Linked DNA regions of Schizosaccharomyces pombe. The gene in region 2 interacts genetically with the main gene of each other region. Each region holds a gene or a part of one and is shown on either strand. Other genes may lie near its edges.

What was found.
Region 1: of cgs1 (region 2) and pyp1, a mutation in one rescues a mutant of the other (synthetic rescue), as found in Schizosaccharomyces pombe (one study listed by BioGRID).
Region 3: of cgs1 (region 2) and mei3, changing one enhances a phenotype caused by changing the other (phenotypic enhancement), as found in Schizosaccharomyces pombe (one study listed by BioGRID).
Region 4: of cgs1 (region 2) and sak1, changing one suppresses a phenotype caused by changing the other (phenotypic suppression), as found in Schizosaccharomyces pombe (one study listed by BioGRID).

What each region holds. Positions count from the first base shown.
Region 1 is NC_003424.3:5,158,985-5,164,400, reverse strand, and holds pyp1 (protein tyrosine phosphatase Pyp1), read right to left. Parts: upstream 2,890-5,416; coding exon 1,237-2,889; 3' UTR 1,041-1,236; downstream 1-1,040. Other genes in the region: GTPase-activating protein Gyp51, read left to right, coding at 1-660. UniProt on the Schizosaccharomyces pombe protein: Plays a role in inhibiting the onset of mitosis. Dephosphorylates sty1/spc1 and wis1/spc2/sty2.
Region 2 is NC_003424.3:3,641,130-3,647,240, reverse strand, and holds cgs1 (cAMP-dependent protein kinase regulatory subunit Cgs1), read right to left. Parts: upstream 4,213-6,111; 5' UTR 4,003-4,212; coding exon 3,873-4,002; exon of another isoform or gene 3,608-3,872; coding exon 2,499-3,607; 3' UTR 1,605-2,498; downstream 1-1,604. Other genes in the region: SPOM_SPAC8C9.04 (uncharacterized protein), read right to left, coding at 1-966; SPOM_SPAC1142.09 (uncharacterized protein), read right to left, coding at 4,396-4,743; DNA-binding forkhead transcription factor for ribosomal proteins Fhl1, read right to left, coding at 5,022-6,111.
Region 3 is NC_003423.3:717,506-722,151, forward strand, and holds mei3 (protein Mei3), read left to right. Parts: upstream 1-2,213; 5' UTR 2,214-2,300; coding exon 2,301-2,747; 3' UTR 2,748-3,485; downstream 3,486-4,646. Other genes in the region: cmt1 (catechol O-methyltransferase 1), read left to right, coding at 461-1,261; lsb1 (SH3 domain-containing protein), read right to left, coding at 3,948-4,646. UniProt on the Schizosaccharomyces pombe protein: Acts as a critical meiotic inducer by binding non-covalently to protein kinase ran1/pat1 inhibiting its enzymatic activity. Inhibits ran1/pat1 by acting as a pseudosubstrate for ran1/pat1 instead of its natural substrate ste11.
Region 4 is NC_003424.3:3,145,916-3,151,476, reverse strand, and holds sak1 (DNA-binding transcription factor Sak1), read left to right. Parts: upstream 1-1,757; 5' UTR 1,758-1,969; coding exon 1,970-4,270; 3' UTR 4,271-4,529; downstream 4,530-5,561. Other genes in the region: tryptophan--tRNA (Trp) ligase Msw1, read right to left, coding at 1-151; rRNA processing protein Fcf2, read right to left, coding at 4,918-5,561. UniProt on the Schizosaccharomyces pombe protein: Positively regulates cyclic AMP-dependent protein kinase-mediated exit from the mitotic cell cycle.

The DNA.
Region 1 (5,416 bases), 1.5 Mb from region 2:
TTTGGGCTTGCGTTGCTAAGTCACAGTCAAGAGAGCCTGCTGAAACTCAATATGGATAGGCTGATTAGTTACCTTAAGGAAGACATTTTTTTGGCCTTTAAGGAGACTCAAGAAGGCGAGAATTATGATACATCTTTGTTTGTAAAAACTGCTTTCTCTTTCGAAATTCAGCCGGATGTCTTGGATCGATACGGAAATGAATATGACATTTTACTTAAATCGGAGCATGAGCTAGACTCTTCTCTTGAAGAAATGCGTAATAGGCACAAATCTTTAAATGAGCATTTTATCATGTTGTCAGATTCAATGGCAAATTTGCAAGTTGAACATGAGAACATGTCCGCTCTACTACTGAAAGAAAAAATGTATCTAAAAAATCAAACTGTTGAACAAGCATCATTAAAATCCGAAATTGCATCCTTAAATAGTCAACTTGCTAAGCAAAAGTCAGAAATAGAGCAGGCATTTCAAGGAGATATGGAAGCAATCATTGCTGAGAATTTAGAAATTATGGTTGAAAGTCAGTCTCTCGAAGATGAAATCTTTAGAAAAGAAAAGCAGCTTGCTGAAACTAAAGTTAACTTGGCCGTTTTAGACGAGGACCATATGATGGCTTTACAAAAATGGAGTCAGCTTATGAACCGCATAAAGACAAAGTGAATATAAAAGCATTCTAGGTACTATTGGAATATCTGCATCCTAATGATTGCCATAATAATTTATTTATATTGAGTTACGTTTAATGTGTATTATAAAAAATCTTTGTTCCTGCAAGTTTGTCTTACTTAAAAACATACAAACGATAGTTCAAATGAATGTATATTTAATGAATCGTCTCACCTTTAATCAGTGAAGAAAGAATTCTATTGCTCTTGATCACGACCACTTCGCTTAAACTCTATATTTCTGCCTAAAGAAATCGAGTAATAAATTTTAAAAAGCATCTGAAAATAATACAAGGTTATTATCAGTTTGATGACTTTATCTTGTACAAAAAATAGGTTTACAAAGTTCTAAAAAGAAAATTTAAGAGAAAAAAAGATATCATTAAAAAGCCTAGTTCTCAAATATACTTTTTGAAATAAAAGACAACGTGATTAAAGCAACTGAATTTCACAAACATTGACAGTAAATTCAAATGCAAATGTAAAAAAAAAGACACTTTACAAGTACAAGAAATAAAGGAATCGATTAAAACACGAATATATATTGCCAAGAAAAATCCAGTCAAAAATTTCATGTTAAAACCGGGAAATGAACTTGAGATTTTTGCAAAGAATCGATCAAGTCATACACATATTTAAATTGTGTGAAGGTTTGAACCATCTTCATCCGCTGCTTTCGGATATGATCAACCAACTGGAAAACGACGTCTGAAGAATCGGCGACAGAAGGATTGAAACCAGAAAGTTTGCTTTCTGGGAAGCGTAGGATCGTATCTAGTACAATAAAGGTTCCTGTCCGACCAACACCGGCAGAGCAGTGCACAATAGTATTTCCTGATCCGTGAGAGTTGTTCACATATTTTAAGAACTCAACCATAGATTTCACGTTTTCAGGAGAATTACAATCAGACCAATTAGGATATTGATAGTGATGTACTTTTTTAACTGAAGGAAAATTGGCATTCTGAATTTCAAACTTTCGCAAAATGAATCGAGAATTATCGACATTTTCCTCCGAAATTTGTTTGACACAGTAATCTCCATACACTTGTTTATCTCCAATACCATTACTTGGCCAATATGCAGTACACATTTCGCGGCCAGCCTCGAACAATGAACCAAGCATAACAATAGTGCCTATATTCTCCACATTGTCCCATACCATGTGCCAGAAATCGCTAATAGAACGAGAAATAGAACCTTGGCAAGCGATGTAATTTGAAGTTTCAGTTTTGATAAAGGAAGCATTGATATAATCGAGCTCTGAAGGGCTAGTTCTTTTCAAATGCACACGAGTACAATTGTAAGGAACAATGTCGGTATATCTGTTTTTCTTATACGATGTATTACTCAATGAATCAACGGTACTCCACTGAGAATTACGATCCGAACAAGAAACTAGACGTTGATGCTCCAATGATTGCAGGCGCAAGAACTTCTGGTAGAGGGTCGCAACATCTGGATTGGTAAAAGCATCGGGCACACTGTGTAAGCAGGGTGTCTGGACTGTAGCACTGCCAAATGGAGAAGATTTGTTGTCCTTGTTCTCAGGTAGAGGACAGAAAAAGTTATTTAAAGACAAACCGGCAACATTAGGAGTGGGAGGAGGACGAGAGAAGTAATCGGAGCCTTCGCTGGACAAAGAGATAGGAGCAGTTTGAGCAGCAGAGTAAGACAATCTGGGGCGAGCGCTAGGCAAAGCACCTAATTTACTTTTTACAGGAGAGTTGTCAATCACAGATGGATACTTGCCCGAGACTTTCGAATAGTCTAAATCTAAAATACCGAAGTCACCAGAATAGGATTCTTTTCTAAATTTTTCACCAATTACCTCAGCGTTCGTTACGTAGTTAGCAATCCAAGCAGGAACACAAACAAGAATGGATGAAAACTCTTGCCAGTTTTGAAAATCTCTCTTGTCGTCGACGTCGTGAAGATTGCTGATGATACGCGCGACCGAAAAGGCAGGACGCTTAATTAAGGTTGCAGGTAAAGAAAGATTGACGGAGCCCTTAATTCTAGATTTGGAAAACTCGGATACGGGACGAAGGTCGATGATCAATGTGTCATCCTTCCAAGCTTCCTTGTCGAGATATTCTTGGAGGCAAGAAGCATGAACAGCATACTTACTCGTTGCTACACCCCGCTGAGGAGGTAAAGCAATACATGAACCCGAAGGAGCAATTGTAAAAGTAGACGATTTTGAACCGTTTGAAAAATTCATCGTGGTTTTTTAGATGAATGTTTTGTATTAAGAATATTTGGCCTTAAAAAAGAAGCAGAGATGATTAAAAAAAAAAGTAAAAAAGTAAAAAAAAATTCAGACTTCTTAAATAAAATACAAATATTGGATAGCACAAGTTTTGAAGGCCGAAAGCAAAATAATGAATGGATAGGAAATATCAAAATTACGGAAAATCCAGGGTTCTAAAAAGGAAAGAATTAACGCAAAATTTGGCAATAAAATTAGTAAAATATAGAAGGAAACAAGAGAAGATTCAAATCAAGTCTGAGATGAAAAAAGTTTTTCAATTCAAACTTTCTGCAGAAAATAAAGATGGAAGAGTTTTAGAGGGGATGAGGAGTATCCAATTCAAAGAATGGGTTTGAATCAGTACTATGCAAATATGAGAATAAAAAGGGGGAATCCTTAAAAATTAACGGATTAATGAATCGTCACTTCAAAGGTCAAGCGATTTTAAGAGGAAAATAAAAATACTGCTTGTGAGTGCACAGTGCAAGATTGCAAAAAGCAACACTATTTAAGAAATTATTTCGTATTTAGTAGAAAATGCAAAAAGGTAGGGCACACGCACGAAAACAGTAACCAGACTGAACAAAAATATAAGATAGAGGGTATAAGAAATATTATAAGTTGCAGTTTGTCAAAGTGCAGAAAAGTATACAAGTAGGAGATCGAGGAACGAAAAGAGGTAGAGGCTAATTGAAATGTAATGACAATGGAATAATTTTCCTACAAAACAGAAAACCCAATTTAAAAGTCAGAAGCGTATTCAAAGCTAAAGGGGGGAACCAAAAGCACGTTGATGCAACAAACTAGCAAAAACGTAAGGTCAACTAAGGATGAAAATTACAGAGCACACGTCTGTAAATAAACCAAATGAATGGTGAATACTTAGACAGATGAGTTCAGAAAAAAAGAAACAGAACTATTCAGAATGCAGAACCCCACAAAAAAAACAATAGACAAGTAACCACCAAGACCCCAAAGTGAAGTGAAAACAAACGGTAAAGCAATGAAGAAAATGGGAAAAAAATTCAAAACTTAATCCGAAAAACTCAAGGGAAAGGAATATATGAGCTCTTCAAAGGTTCAAAAAAAGCGATACTACACTGTGGAAAGAAACCCAAGAGTACACCTTTTTGAGAAAAGACAAAGAAAATGATGAAACGAGAAATAGGATAACTAGAAAAGGAGAATTCCGAAAATATGAAAATATCAACGAAAAGGAAACAAGAAAAAAAAAGAGGGAGGTATAAAAAAAATGTAAAAGGAGAAAAATCTAACCCAATTGAGAGAAAGAAGTGGTGAAACAAAAGTTGAGAAAAGTTGAAGAAATTAACTATTTTGCATCGTACGGGATAAAAAAATGAAGCAAATAGAAAAAGCACGGCGATTCAACGATATATCTGGTGCTCTTTTATGGAAGGAAAAAAGACTAGTTCTTCCTATTTATTCACTTTGAGTTAAAGTTTAGAAAAGAAAAGATGGGCGCAGGTAATGAAACAAACGACTTTTAAAAGCTACGTATAGCGGTGGAGAGACAACAGAGAGAACTGTTGACGAGATGAAGGATGGAGGAAAAAATCTAAGAAAGAGAATTAAACGCACTAAACGTCAACGAAATCAAGTCTAACGATTTTTGATTTTTACCAAACGATCAGAGCAAGGACTGAGCGACGAACCAAGGTAAAATTTTTCATACGATCCAACAAAACGACGATGAAAATAAGATCCAATCTTATACTTTACCCAACGTTTAAACAGGAAACCCAAAAGATAAAAAGGATTGGGAGCAAGTAAAGGGTTAAGAGGAGGAAGGGAGAGGACGAGCGAGCGATATGTAGAAAGAGAAGAAGAAGTAGAAATAGGTATATCTTGGAGCACCAAACAATGATATCACTTAATAGTCCCCCGGGTAAGAAAGAAAAAAAAAAAAGCCAACGACAAGTAACAGATCAAATAGATCAACCAGACAAAGTAACAATTGAGTACAAGTAGGCTATCAAATTAACCAACCCTCGGATCGAACAAGCAACCAATGAAAGGGAGCGCAACGAGATCCAGAAGGACGAATGGATGAAGAGAAACGAGTTTAAGCAGGAATAACGTGTGCGCTAAAAAAGCTTAGGCGCAATGGCGTTAAAGAGGAAAAACACAGGAACAATGGGGATAAAAGCTTAAGTGAGTTAACACAAAAATGCGACGCTGTGGCTATAACGCAGTGGAGTGAAGAGGAGCGCAGAGGAAGGGTGTGTGAGTACGTAAGTAAAGGGGTAGAGAAAGCGAGCCTTATATATATATATATATGTATGCGCAAATATAATAAATATAAACAAAATTATATTTATATATGTTTATACAAACTTCAAATCTGGATTTGTATAGAGAGAAAGTACGGGAAATGTAGACTGTGCAGCCACAACAAGTACTGGAGTGAAATAAAAAAGAAATTGGGAAAATAGGTGAATCGTTTCCGAAACTATAGAAAAAGGTGGGAACCAACTAA
Region 2 (6,111 bases):
TGTGGTGGTATGGGGGATGACATCTGCATGTGGAATGTCGCTCGCATCCTCGAAAACCGTCTCTTGCTGAACGTTTTCACCAATGCTTTCAAGTACGTTATCATTCATAATTCCATCGGCCACTGCATGTGACTCAGCAGTGGCAGTAGTAGAGGCAGAGGCAACTGCTGCTGTTGTCGTAGCTGCTGCCTGATCATGCGTAGTATTTATTTCTTTCGATATCATAATAGCTTCAGGCTCAATGGGCTTCAATTCTGGAATTTCTTTCTCAGCGGTAGTAATGGGTTGTGAAGTAGCTTTCGCCATGTTTTCCTCTACTTTCGAAGAAGGTTGCGCAGCAGATGTCGTTGCTGGCTTAGACGTAATCGAAGCTGGGGAATTACCGAGTTGCTCGTCATTGCGCTGGGGTGCGAAATGTTCGGCTACGACGTAATCAGCGGATTGTGTGGTTGCAGTAGACTTTGTAGAAGCGGATGAGGAGGAGGAGGAAGGGGAATTGGCGGGTTCGGTAATACTTGTATTGCGTGCTTCCGTAGTTGGCACTGCTGTTGACGTGGAGGCAGAGGGTTTGTTGTCAGTAGGCGGCTCTACAGTACCCAGAGCTGAGGATGCTATGGGTTCCAAAGGCTCGTCAACCTGATCAGCGTCTTTCTCCACTATAGTTTGTGTAAATCCTGGCTCTTGTAATATGGTTTGTTCTTGTTGTTCCTCTTGCGCGTGCTGAGCTTCTTCCACAGGTGTGGAAGAGGCAGATGCTGCTGCTGACTGCTTCTTCTTTTTTGCAGCCTTCTTTTTGGCGCGTTTAGCGGCCTTCTTCTTGTTATCCTTGGTGACGGACGCCTGGGAAGAATTGTTATTCTGCTCGACCGCGTTGGTACTTTTCGAATCCAGCTTCTCCTGGACTCTCGACGTTACTTGGTGAATTTCATTTTTCGTCTGTTTAACAATATCGGGATTCGTGGTCATATTCAACTCAATTTTTGTTCTACTTTTACACGCTCTGCGTTCTTGTTTGGTGGTTGGTAGAAGTTGTAAATCTTGGCGTAACTAGAATTTATACGAAACCCTGTTATGTGAGTGAAAAAATGCATATGTAAACAAAGTTAATTCAGACGAAAGTAAGACACAAAACAAAACATTTCTTTACCAAAACATTGCTTCGCTGATCATCTTCTTAATATTACAATTTATCTCGAGTGCTTAACTTTATTCTGCAGTAATTGTCATTTCTACCCGTTGTGCTTGTTGTGAATAACCTACCCTACTAAGAACATTCACAGTAAATATGTAGTATGGAATATGGGGAAAAAAATTTTTCTTGTTTAAGAAAACCTTACGCATAGTTCGCAACTGTAGTCGTTTTTTTATTTATTATGTTCGCAAGAACATTGAATGTACGAAATTGAGTATTCTTTAAAATTTTTTGTATCCCATTTCGTACGGATTTGATAATTGAATAAAAGTCCTTTCGCTTTTTGCTGAATTTATTTGTCTAACAAGATATTCGTTTTATAAGTTTTTTACACAATTTGCATTCTCCTAGTTACACGTATCGTTTATCGCAGACTGTAGTTTCATCTAATTTGCACCCCTTTACTCAAAACTTGGTAAAAATTTTGTGTATTGTATTAAAAAACTATTCTCAATTCTTGATATTAGTCAATTTCTCATAAAATTTTTAAAGTTATGTCACGTAACTACAAAAACCGAGAACTCACTCAGTTTGCATACAAAACATCCACACTCTTGAATTTTTAACACTTCATCCCTTTCCCCACGTCTAGCGTCTGCCTAAAGCTTTCTAAGTATTTCATGCTTGCAAGTGTTTACGGACCACGGTAATTCTTGTATAATGTGCGTTACTCCAATGCCAAGTACATTATTGAATGCAGCTGCTGTTTTGAAGAGTGTGTGATTATTCAAAAAACAAATATAAGAACTCTCCATATAGATAGAAATATTTGACGATATCAAATATCGATTAAAAAACAAAAAAAAACAGGATGAAGAGAACGATAAAATAACTGTCATGATCCGTACGAAAAAAAAAACACAAACTAAACGGTAAGCTTCCAAACATCAAATGCTGCGATATTCGACAGATAAAAATAATAAAAAAAAAAGGAAATTTCAAAAAGAAAAAAAAAAACAAAATAAGAACAGTGAAGTGGTAATCACGAATATAATTGGAATTAAAACATTAACAAACCATATCCAGTGCCATGCTAGAACAAGACATAAAGGTTTTCAAAGAAATAAAAAAGAATAATACGTATATATACATTATCACATATAATGCTGAATTAGATAAGTAATCCAAACAAAACATGTTCAACATGAATAAGTAAATTATTCCAGGGATAATGGTAAACAATCACATGCATGCATGACCAATATGAAAAAGTTAGAAGGCAAACAAACAACAGGGAAATTCTTTAGCATATCATGACAGGTCATTATTACAAAGATAGTTTCAAAGAAAACAGATTATAGAAATTTTATGCTTTAGTTGATGGAGGTGACCTATGAAGAGATTGGTCACCATACTCATTATCCATTCCCATCCTGGCACGAGGTTGATTACGCATCAAATCGATCGCGTTACCAAGTAGTCTATTAAATGTAGGTTTATCAAATGTAGCAAGTTTCAGGCGAGTTTTTGCCTGTACCGTCGCATTTCTCACTGTTTCGTGAATTAAAGCTAGTTCACCAAAGTAATCTCCCTTGGTTAGGGTAACGACTACGCCTTTGCCATTCTTCACTACTTCAGCCTCGCCATCCTCTATCAGATAAAACTGGTTACCAATGTCGCCTTGTCGAATAACGATGCTACCGGCTTGATACACGACTGTCTGAAGAGCATCGGCAATTTTTTGTCGTTGATATTTGTCAAGGCTTGAGAGAATGGGAACTTCTTCAAGGAGGCTTTCATACAGCATCCTCTGGCGATATGCGTTTTCAAATACGATACGACGGAAACTTGTACGATCTAATGCGTAAATTACATTATTTGGTGTTTTGGAGACCACCGATGCAGCTCGTGGAGCATTATACATGAGTGCCAACTCTCCAAAATATTCACCGGGAGAAATCGTAGTTATGTAGTTACCATAACCACTCGAAAGCACTTCTTCAGGGGTAATATTTAGTTCGGGCCTTTTGTATACATCGAATTCACCTTGCTCCACAATATAAAAGTAATCTCCAACTGCTCCTTGGACAATGACAGCAACACCAGCCTCTCCAATCCGTTTTTCAGTCATAGCGTTCAGAACCTCGTTGTAATGTTCTTCATCCAAATTCTTAAACAAAAAGTTCCCAGCAACTGAGCGCTTTAGTCTTTTCAAATCTTCAGGATCCTTCGGAGGAAAGGTTCGTTTGGTCTCTAGTGCAAATGCACTAGGATTCATCGACTCAGTGGAAACAGATTGGCGACGCAACAGATTGTAGTTTTGCGGATATGAAACGTTCATTTCTTTTAATCCTCCCAATTCAGGAACGTATTTGGCATCCGGACCAATTGCCTCGGGGCCAGCAACCATATCGTTGAGCTCAGACAGGAAATCGCTTTCATCTCCGTCGCTAAAAGACTCTGTAATGGTGTCGCCTAAAAGAGAAATTTGTTAACATGATAAAACAAAAAAGGGTAAAATTTGTGTAGTATAGAGTGGGAGATTAAATGGGTACAGGGTCCTTAAACAACTTTGTGGAATTATTAACAGCCAGGAATCATAATTGCTGTTTGCTGACTAAATTTAGAAAATACTTACTATAGAGCAAAACAAAGTAAAAAACCACAAAAAAGAACCCATATTGACCATCATTTACTTTTCCTCTCCACTAAACATAGCTATCCAGAAGCATCTACTTACCTCGACGAAATACTGAGCGCTCAGCTTTCAGCTTTTCTCCAAAAAAGTCATAGCAAAATTGAAGTACATCTGAAGGATTTTGCTCATCAACAAGGGCTTTTAGCTCCTCATATACTTCTTCGAAAGACATGTCTCCTAAAGTTTACGTGCCTTTCTTTCAAAAAATGCGGTTTTTTGTTTCTTACTCTCAGTGAATCACAATCTCGCGGTTTTTGTTCGCTTCAGCTTTTCCTGACACTTTAATCAACCACAAGAGGTAAATTTTCCAAAATAAAAGAGCTGAATTCAGCTATACAAATCAGTTATTTACCTTCGTTTGTTACGGTTGAGATGTATGTTTAAAGTCTACCTGAGGCGTTGGACTAAAATGGATGGATGCCTGCATTAGCTCACTCATACGTCATAAAATGTACTACGCAATGCCCTGACTCCATAATATGGGGTTTATCGAAGCGCATAAAAAAATAGAGAGTAGAATGTTTGACGATGCAACATAGCTTGCGTTTTCCAGTGTTTCGGTATATTATTTTGTGAAGCTTCTTGTACATCCGTGAGTTAAGTTAGTTAAGAAATGAATAGTGAGCGGTCTATGGAAAAGTGATATGATAAATATACATCTATAGTAAGAAATTAGAATCGCTGAATATGAGTTGTTTGTTTTCAAAACAAATTCAATGTAACTTTTGAAGTCTATCAGATCAGAGAGCTTGCCCGACAGGATTACAACAATAATAGTTTTGGTCTTATTAAAAGTGCTATAAAAACAATCATTGAAGTAAATATGCTTTCTGTATTGGCTAAACAAAGGTTTCAATGAAAACGTAAATAAGGAATCGCTAATGTTCACAGATAACAAAAGCGAATCCTCCATACCCTTCCTGCTTTGCTATTAACTTTTTCGACAAGAAAACGAAAATGCTTATTAAATGAAATAAAACCAGACGGCAATTTATTATGTAAAGTATTAACTAAGGTAAACATTAAACACATGAGAAATAAAAGTAGAAACCACCCAAAGACCAAGTTGTGCAATCACTGTCAAAAAAAGAAAAATGAAACAGCTTATGCATGCTGGTAAGTGTAATTTTCGGCACTAATGTATTAATTAAGAAGTCATCAACAACGTTACGTGCATGAGCATTAGTAAATTCAGGTATAAGAGGATGATGTCTCGTCCAACGGTCGCTTTACTCCTCGTAAAGCGTCGCTTGAGTTTGATGGTAAATTCATGCCCCTTACTGAAGATGAGTCGTCAACATTGTTTCCGTTCTTTGCATTAGTATCAAAAGATCCATTTTCGTTTTCCATTATATCTCTTTTACTAAAGCTTGATGCATTTCCAATGGAATTCATCCTTTGTCCTTGATTGCCTGTTTCAACTCTCTCTAAAGTATCATTAGGCGAAGAGTATAAAGGCCGATCAGAAGTGAATGGTTTGTTTATTGGTATGGTGTGTAGATTTTGATGGCTTGTTATCTCTGATTTGCTTTCAGAAGCAGTGGAGTTGTACGACGATGATCGAACTGACGATGGCCCCGCGGACACATTAGCCATTGCTCCTGGGGGTAACGGGTCTCCAATACTCTGGCGTGTATCTGGTAACTTCGAAGGAGCAGATGGCCTAACATATGGAGGTGGTCCAACGTTTACTGCAGGACGTTGAGTGACTGAGATACTAGGAGACGGTGATGTTATGTTAGGGTGCGGCATTGCAGTCGGCGCCGGATTAAGTTGCTGTGAAGTATAAGCTTTACGACGCTTTGCCTGTTGTTGCACTTGTTGGGGCCCTTGCATTTGCGTTTGCTGCTTTTGAAGTTTTTGGGCTAAAGCCACAGCGAGAGCATTCGCAATCGCTGTGGCTTGCTCCGGGTTGTTGGCAGCGGCAGGTCCTAGCTGCTTATTAATGTGCTGTTGGAGTAGTGAAATTGCTTGAACGGCTTGCTCGTTGGGAGCCTGTTGCTCTCCATTTGCATTCTTGAAAAACTCGGGGTTCAAAGCAAGTTTCCCATCGCGCATAATGATAGGTTGAATGCCATTTTGAAGTAAGGATTGTGGTCGATCCTCTACATTTTCTCCTCGGGAAGTATGAGTTTTACTACGACTAGTTTCTTTTTGCGGATTAAGCTGTTCGGTTTTTCCAGCTGATATACCCTTTGTCTGGATAGCGGCTAATTCATTCTCCCTAGCAGTATCAGGATGAGCAGCTGGTGTAGCAGAAGGGGTGGGCTTTTTTGTTCTT
Region 3 (4,646 bases), on a different chromosome or scaffold from region 2:
AACGAACAATATCGATTATTCAATACAGTCTGTTATTAAACTATAACGATACGTTGTAATTGCGTTGATGTTTCACCCAAAATCAAATAGTGTAAAATCATATACTTGCGGATCTATGTTTACAGAAACACTGTTTTGTTTCAATATATTTCACAATTCCTTCAGTGCAACGCAGTGTAGTCTGCTATTCTGTTGCCTCAAAGTCCAAAGTTTCCATATGGCGCAAAGTATAAAGGTACTGCTGTAACATAAGGGTCTTGACTCACCGAGCCTCGGTCTCTAGATGTGCTAGATGTCCTATGATACGGTGGGTAGTTTGTAAAGATGCGTGGCGTAGTGACAACATACGAGGTGCATCGAATTCAGCAACATTCCATCCCTCGTAACTATATAAAGTGCATGGTATTGCGTATGCAGAGCTGAAAATCAACTTTTAACCAACCTTTCGAAATTTGAAATCATGCCTCATATGGAAGACAACGGTAGTGAAAAGGAACAGCTGTTTCTGCAACACATTCAAAATCTGCCTCAAGAGCGCTTGGATGCGATTCGCGGGCATCCTGAGTTGGTTCTTAAGGAAATCGATGAATTCACGTATCCAGACGGATCTGGAGTGAGAATGTGTATAGGAGATGTTAAAGGTGGATTTATCGTTGGGAAAATTCGTGAACGGAAGCCGAAAATCATGGTTGAGTTAGGCGGCTATTTGGGCTACTCAGCTATTTTGTTTGGAAATGAAATCTCCAAAATTCCTGGTGGTCGTTATTACAGCTTGGAAGTGAATGAGGATTATGCCAAGATTGCTTACGAGTTGGTTAAGTTGGCCGGTCTGGATGAAATAGTCACCATCATGATTGGCAAGGCTTGCGACAGTTTGGTCGAACTGCAACAGAAATTATTGCATAAAGACCTTGGTTTTCAAGCTTTGGACATGGTATTTATCGACCACTGGAAGGACCTTTATGTGCCTGACTTGAGGGTTATTGAATCACTTAATATGATTGCTCCGGGAACCCTTCTAGTGGCCGATAATATTATAACACCTGGTGCTCCTGAATATCATAAATATGTTAATATGAGTCCTGAAGAACGTAGAGGATATCAAGCCAAGGTTCGCAATGTCAATGGATTCGATTTCATCGGCAGATGGGATTTGATATATAAGACTGAAACTAAAGAATTTGAGGGTGTCATTCGCAATAAACACCGCAAAGACGCTGTCGACGTTACGGAGTGTGTTGGCTATGCTAAAAAAGATTAGGTACCAAAGGCATTCCCTAATCTTTTTATAATTGACTTTATGTGGTATCTGATACCTTTTACGATCTTTTGAAGCCCAGTTTATACAGCATACAATCGTGTCTGGGATCCCATTCTTTGCTCGTCCAGATATTGTTTGCTAATGTTATAAATTATAGTTGACAATGAATTGATTTCTCTTTTAATCCCGTTGCTTGATTCTAAAAACGATGTGTAAAATGTCAAGTATAGTATAGTAATTTAAGTTTCCTGTTCACTATTACATTTGGAATGTGCCCATTCTGTTAGATGAACGCATGATCGTCAATAGAGAAGTACTAAAGAAATCGTTAACTTGCATACTATAAATGTGCACTGCTAATTACTCTACTCGCAAATACGAAGAACACCTAGCTGGATATATCTACCTTTCATGCAATGATTGAGCGAGCACGAAAGCAAAGTGGTAAGCTTGCATTGTGGAATGTAGCAATCTCTAAAAACACATTACTGTAATACTGTTTTTTGCGTTATTCAATTCAATGTTGTTTAGCCTGAGTTATTTTTTAAGGAAATCTAACGAATGATATCGAAACTTAACACGAGTTTGATTTGTTTACGCTGCTCTCTAAATGAAAAGCGTGTCGCGCCGCGTAGCATGCCACTTCGCAAGCATTAAAAGCTGGAAATGAAGAGTAGAAAATATAATAGTAGTAGTTCATTTGAAAACATAAAATATACTTGTTTCTTACTTCTCATTTGGTCTTTACTATCATTTTCTAAATTTTGCATTTTCACTTTCTGTACTGTGATTGTATACAAAAAAATAATCTTTTATTTGTTTAATAGTTTTTTTTGTTTCATTTGCAAATATCAAATACTTTACACGAAATTGAAAAACCTCCGTGAGCCATGGGTTTGAAAGAAATGTGCTGCGTTAGTATAAGTATGAGTGCTTAGTCGCTCATTTCTGCATCCATTTTCTTATCCTCTTATTCTTTCTATTATCTAATTCACATCAAACTATATTCTACTTTTACAATCACTTTCTACTTCTAACAATGAGCTCTCAAAACACCTCCAACAGCCGTCACCCAGCAAGCAGCGCTTCTGCTTTACCAAATCGCACCAATACGGCAAGACGCTCAACTTCTCCCAGAACTAGTACTGGAAGCTCCAGTACTAACACTAACACCAAAACTGTTGACCATGCCGGTACCACTTTCATCAGCTCTACAAGCAAACGCGGCCGTTCTACCAAAGCTGGATCGGTACATAGCGTTCCCATGAAACGCACTAAACGTGTTCGCCGAACCCCTGCACAACGCATTGAACATGAAAATAAAGAAAATATTCAGACTGAAAAGGTTTATAGGATTAAGCCTGTCCAAAGAGTTCTTTCTCCCTCAGACCTCACTAACGAACTAACCATCCTGGACCTATTTCATGTTCCTCGACCTAACGAGACTTTTGACATCACCGACCGTGTAAACAACACCTCTCGCTAAGCAACTGCTTAAATTAGCTTAATTTTCTTCGATCCTGAATGACTAATGCCGAAGGGGAATATGAACACCACATAAAAATTGAAAGAAATTCTCTTTCGAGCATTAATTTTTATTAATTAAACCGCTGTTATAGGAAATTTTCATCCTAACTATACAGCTATTATATTTGAACTTGCATACTTATTTTCATGTTTTCCATTTTTACAACAAAAAAGAAAAAAAATTAAAACAAATTTAGTCCTTTCATTCATTCCCCAGTGCTTTCAGACGCTTTTTATAACAATTCTCCCTTGAGTTTCATTTCTGTTCATAGTCTCATTATTCTTTATTGTGTGTTGACTTCTTTTATTTTTAAACAAAGGTTCATTTTTATTGTCGTTCTCTTTTTTTTTTGAAATTCTGCTACTTTCTCTTGGAATCCCCATCAACGTGTTACCGAATTTGATTCATCATTATTCATACATCTTCCATTTTTGTTGGACATTCGCTGTCTCCAGTTTTTACTTTATCTTCCCATTTTAATAATGTGAGTCTTTACATTCATGGGATTTCCACGTCGATTCTTTTTTATTGCTTAATGGAAACGATTCTGACCGGACATCGTAATTAAATCTCTAACAAAGGCTACCTAATTTATACTTCCTCATCCGTTTACTATTTTTTGCTTTAATATACGTTAAGCAATAGAACAATTTACCATAGCATATTAACAAATCTAATACACTGTCATTCGTTCCCTATTAATCATATTTTTGCTTTGTAATTTATTTTTTTTATTATGGAATTAAAATATAAACGGTATGAAAGTCGTAAAAAGAAAAACACTAAAAATAAACAAAAGTCAAGAGACATGCGTATTTAATAGTACGCATCGATAATCATAAAGAATATGCAACAATGTTTGGATATCGAATTCATACACATAAATGAGGTGTCTCAATCTATGAAGAAGCAGCTATGCCGCGGTGTTGCTTTATAAGCATAAAGCATAGTCGAGAAAAAGACAAAAGACCAAAGGAGTAAACATGAACAAGGGAAATGCATTCGCGATATACGGAAATTTCTACTTGGAAATTTCAAAATAAAAAACAACTGCGCACCAACGATAACAAACACAGGTGCTAGTTCAACCACACAGAAAGTTTTACTTATATAAAGGAAGAAAAAAAGCATAGAAAAAGGAAAGAAACGAACTCGCATTTAAAAAATGGAATTGACGAGATCAGCGCCAGCAGTTGCACCAGCACCGAATACAAATGCAGAACCCAAACCACTACCAATCTTCTTGAATGTTGATGAGTGCTTGTGCTCGGTCGGTTGTGCAACCACGATGGGTTGTTGAGGCGCCTGAGGATAGGCTTGGACAGGTGGATATGGTGCTTGCTGAGGTGGATATGCTGTTTGCTGATACTGCATGGGAGGTGCCGAAGAAGATGCTGCTGGGGGATAGTTTTGCTGTGGTGGAGGAGGAGGAGGTTGAGCTTTAACGGCAGAATCTTCCAACAAACGCACATAGTTAGAAGGGAAGATTCCTTCCTTTCCATTCAATTCACCACGCCACCAATCGTTATTGACATGCTCAAGTACAATGATAACTTCGCCAGCATGGAAACCTAAATCACCAGCATCAGGGCCAGGAAAGTCGTACATCGCCAAAACCCGCTCAACGTTCTTATGGGCAGTATTGGGTCCAGGATAGCTGGGAGGAGGGGGAAGCTTCTCGGTAGATGAATTGACACTTGAAGCCTCGCTTTGCTTCTGTGGGGCAGGCACTCCAGGCAGCTTACGAGGTTCCTCGGGTGTCCTCTTTTCTCCAGAGTTTTGAGACAAAGACATTGCTGCTACGGCAGACGCTACCGATCCTGCTCTTTTTTCCACAGAGCTCTTCCGCTTGGGCAA
Region 4 (5,561 bases), 490 kb from region 2:
AGAATGGGGTACGAGCGGCTTCCTCTTGTAGTTGAACCCATTGCTTTAGAGATCCCAAATAATTGCCAATGTGAGGAATTCCAGTAGGCTGAATACCTGAAACAACTCTGCTATGTGGAAGGAGAGAAGTGATTTTTGGAAGTTTAGCCATTCTTTATTACTTTTTATTTAATTGGTTTATAAAGTGAACAAATAAATAAAGATAAAGAATAAATGTAATGAAAATAAAAAAAAACAGCTGTGTTATAATCCAACTGATTACAGCTCGCAGACAATTTTTTCAAAAAGGAACAAGGCCGTAGAAACGAATGCTACACTTATGACTAGGTCAGAATGAAAACAAGCAAAATATAGGAGGAATGTTCAATGACACGCAGATAAGACAACAGGATAGAAACTTTTCTTCTCTACCAAAGATAGTTGATAAATGGTATCAAAACGGGATTATTTTTTTGGTAAAATCAAGTAGCTAAAGTTCATAACCATACAATTAAAGCGTTGCAATACCTCAGAAACTGAGAAGATGCCTATAACAAAAAATGGGATAAGAAACCCAAACTATGGGAGGAAAAAAAAGATTAAAGGCGGAAAGTGATATTGTTAGAAAGTATGGAGAAAATCCTACAATGGTGGGTATTTGAATTCTTCATAAAAGAAGGATAGTTTACATGGAGCGAGTCATTGAATGAACTTTAAGCCGTTAAAAATCTACCGAAAATAGCTCGTTTAAGCGTGAGGTTATTTTTTTTTTATTTTTTAACGAATTTGTTACAAGTGTCCAGAAGTTCGTAAAACTTGAAGAGAGCAAGTAAATTTGTATAAACAAACATGTTTTTTAAAGTATAAAAACTTTGTAAATGATATTTAAGTTGGTGTAGAAATTTAATGTAAAAAAATTTTGGATGCTTTTTGTGTACGATAGATCGACTAAAAAAACATACAAGAATGCGCAGGTCATGCCATTCTTTTTTTTTCCATTAATTTATTCCATATTGACTCGCCATCCCCACTTTGCGGTAAATAAGCGCTGCAAAGTTTCTCGTTGATTTTTACTTTCCTCCCTCTACCACTCCTAAGAAGAAAAAGGAAATTTTTTGACTAAATAGTCATGATTTCAGCAATATTCTACTTGTGTTAGTGATGTTTTAGCAGTAGACAATGATTTTCAAAAAGCTCGAAAATACGGGTTTTCCGCAATACCCGCTACTATTTTGGTAGAAAAACAAGTCATTGTTAGTTCGTCGTTTTAAAAACGCTATCGTGAAAATGAAGATTCTTTTGAAAAGATAAAAGTCTTTTAAATCCGCAGAAAAAAGAAAAAAGAAATTAAACAGAAGAAGCTTGTATGGACTTTACTTCGGCTATTTGCATTCATTCTTCACCTCCTTATGATTGGTGTGTGTAAGCATGCAAGCGACTGCTTTGGTTTAGGTGCAATGAAATTCACTATTTCATTTAACGTTTCAATGGTTCAAGACTTCGCAACGACGAATAGGATCATGGATTGATATCGTAAATAACAATTAACAAGCCCGAAGGAGGTGGAAAGAAAAGCAATTTGATGTAAAATTAAGCTAGCGAAGAATTAAGAATGTAATCAAGCGCCCCACTGCAGTGCCGTGATTATCCTTGTCTTTTAAACACCGAAGTTTAAAATCCTTGCGCTTAACAAGCGATAGTGATCGACGGTGGAAACATTTTTTTTACGACCTCGAGGAGTTGGCGCTTTCTTTGCCCATAAGCATCTTCTTGTCTTCACCACACTTGAGCATTTCCGACTAGCCAAGGCTGGTCAATTTGCCCCTCAAATATTTTCTGAGGATTTAATAGTTACGACGTATAGAGGGTGCTTTTTAATTTTTGGTATCTTAAAAAAGGTTTGTATAGTACCGGTTGGATGTTGGCAAGTAGATAATTTTTTGTGGTAAATTTTTGCACTTCCGATAAACGTTCTGTCAGGCACAGGATTATGAATCCATCTGATTTACCAGGTCAAATACCTCTGTCTAGATCAGATATGAATGTCCAAGATCAATTGGACCCGGTTCAACGCTTTGATACTCATTTTATGCTTCCCCAGGAGGAGAATTTTTTGAATCGCCCCTCCATAACCTCCGAATCTGCACATCCACGAGGAAGTGATTTAGAGCAAGAGACAGAACTAAAAAGACTTGCGTTGGAACATGAACATTACTCTTTAGAGTCGCTAGCGGAAAAGCTGCGAATGGACCACGTAAGTGCCAATTCGGAAAAATTTCGCCAGGTTTTTGGCATATGTTGGTTAAAGCGTGCTTGTGAAGAACAACAAGATGCTGCTGTCCAACGAAATCAAATATACGCTCATTACGTCGAAATCTGTAACTCTTTGCATATCAAACCTCTAAATTCCGCTTCGTTTGGAAAACTGGTTCGTTTGCTCTTTCCTTCCATCAAAACCCGACGTTTAGGCATGCGTGGCCACTCAAAATACCATTATTGTGGTATTAAACTGCGTGGTCAAGACTCTTTTCGCAGACTACGTACCTTTTCAGATTCAAGTCTTTCCCCCGTTTCCTGTTCTTCGTTTCCCAAACCTATTCCCAATCATTTTGAAAACGATGTTTCTTCTATTCAAAACACAAATCAGCGTGTAGAAAGCAGCCCTGCATCGGTTAATGCTGCGGCTATAGTTAGAAAATCCGCTGTCACCCCTTCATCAGATCCTTACAATTCGCCTCCTCCTTCTATACCTTTGCTAGGAAGTCAAACCAATTTGCAATTGGCTCCTTCTTTTGCTGCTCCACAAGCCCATCCCCTACCTTCACATCTTTCACAATCCAATGTTCCGCCACAACTTTCTCATTCTTCGGTACCTTCACCTGCACCACCCCGTTCTGTGTCCCAACCGACCTATTTTTCTCAACCCATGCCTCAGTTTTCTTCTTCGTTTGTACCCGGTACTTCTTCGATAGTACCTACCTTGCATCCTGCTTCTGCACAAGAAGATTTTAATCTTCAACATTCCCTATTCTTCAAACTTAAACTTAAATTCTTGCCTCCTCATAAGCTTCCTTGGATCCCATCATTAGACGTGTCTTCATTTTCCTTACCTCCTATTGACTATTATTTAAATGGTCCATACGATAATGTCGAGGCGAAATCTGCATTAATGAACATTTATTCTTCGCATTGCATTACTCTAATTGAATCAGTCCGGTATATGCATCTCAAGCAATTTCTGTCCGAGATCTCTAACTTTCCCAATTCCCTCTCTCCTTCTCTTTTAGCTTTGCTGTCCTCTCCTTATTTCACGAAATGGATTGAGCGTTCTGATACCGTTATGTACAGGGAAATACTGAAGTTGCTATTCCCTATGACTCTTCAAGTGGTACCTCCGCCAGTCTTGGTGCTACTGCGTCATTTAGCTGAGAATCTCGTTAATCACATATCCAGCATATACGCTTCTCATTCATCTTGTCTTCTCCAAGTCAAATCTGAGACTGCCGCAATCTTTAGTAACTTATTGTCTCGTCTTTTGCGTGTCAACGATACGGCTCATGCTGCTGCTAGGTTCCTTGCCAACCCTGCCGACAGGCATTTAATTTGTAACGACTGGGAACGATTTGTCAGTACAAGATTTATTGTACATAGAGAATTAATGTGCAATGACAAAGAAGCAGTAGCCGCGTTGGATGAGTGGTATTCTATCCTTTCAACCTGTTCAAATCCTTCTGAGCTTTTAGACCCTTTGAAGGACAAACATGAAGCCAGTGATACATCAATGAACAGGGTCGAACTTCGACAAATTGATGGTGTTTTAGATCGTATGGCAGATTTTTTTCTGGAGTTGCCTTCCAGATTTCCCTCCTGCTCTCCTAGAATGTTTCTTCTATGCCTAGGCGCTTTACAAACTAGTGTGCTTCGTGAAATCACGGTCAGTGGAGGTGAAGCATTTGGGGCTCTTTGGGTAATTAGATGTTGGGTCGATGAATACATGACTTGGGTGGCAGAGATTGGCGGATACCTCGATGATAGTTATGATGAGCTGGAACAGCATCATGCTAACTTTCATAATAAAGCTGGAATATCTCAGAGTAATATCCCTCCTCATTTACAGGAGCACCGTCAATCCCAGCAACACTTCCAACAAGACATCGAAGCTTTGCAATCACAACAACAACAACAAGCCACTAAAAATTCCTTGATGGAAGCTGCCTACCAGAATGCTCAGAAGCAAAAGGAAGACGACTATATATCCATTGTATTTGATACAAATGGTGCTTGTAGTTGATGTACAATATAGTTGACCCTTTTTAGGGCTTCGAAAAAGCAAGCGTAATTACACTGACAAAAGTTAATATCATTCATATTATTGTTTTTGTTTTTTAATATATGTTTCTTTTGTTCAGGAGGTCTATTTGTTTAAGTCTGTGAACTTTTGAAATGCAATTAGATTACTATAATCCTGGCGCTTGTTTCTTATGGGTGAACGTCCATACATATACCAAATTGAAAGTGACTATACTTTATATTTGTTTTTTATTTCTTTTAAAATTTCACTGTCAGTAAATAGAGTTTCAACATTTTTGTCTTTAATTTTGATATCGACTATCACATATGTATTGATTAATATAAATGTTCTCCGATAACTATTTTATAAAACCTATTTAAACTATTGAGTGTAATTATTGCATTTCTCTGGCAGTAACAAGAATATTAAGCCCATACAAATGAGGAAATTGGCATCGATATCATTCAACAAGAATAGCGAACCCCCAAAAAAACAGCATCATACTAAAAGCGAACTTTCTACGAGAAACTTCGTGTTTAAAAAACAAGACTTCAAATAAAATGTTTAAATATTCCCCTTAAAGACCATATATTAAATTAAAAAAACGACAAAATAACTTAAACAACGGAAAATGGAAACATCAACCACTATTTCAAGTAAGAAGGTTTTCGGCGCTGCTGAAGTTTTTTATATTGCCCCTTCCGTCCACTCATTTTCGATTTTTGTAATTCTAGATATTTTTTCTTGAAGTACGATCGTCTTTCTGAATCGTGCAATAATTCGTCAACAATTGTCTCTTTGCGCTCTCGAGTGGGGATACGACTAGAGTAAAAGTCCTGAGGACCTTCAACGATGGAACCCACCTGAAAGTATTTGGGCATAGATTTCGTGTTTTCCCTTCGGTAATGCCGTTTCGGATCTAGTGCATTTCTCATCTTCAATAGCTGAATGTCGCGTTTCACCGATTCTGTGAGCTCGGTGGCAGGCATGTCAAACCAATTCGATCCAGCAGTGTCTTTAATATTTTTCTTCTTCTTTGATATACCAGGGGCTGAAACATGACTTTCATAAATAGGTACTGTTGGCTCGAACGACGCATCATTAATATATGACTCGCTATTCTCCACTAATTCATCTTTTTTCAATCCCATAACGAATTTCTTTTCAAAATATGAAGGCAATTCAAAAGAAGAGCTGATTATTTTGGGAATTTTGGTGAGCAACTTTTGTTGGCCATGCTTATCATCGTCAGACGCTTGCTTTTCTTGTAATGTGGATTTTGCAGATTCTA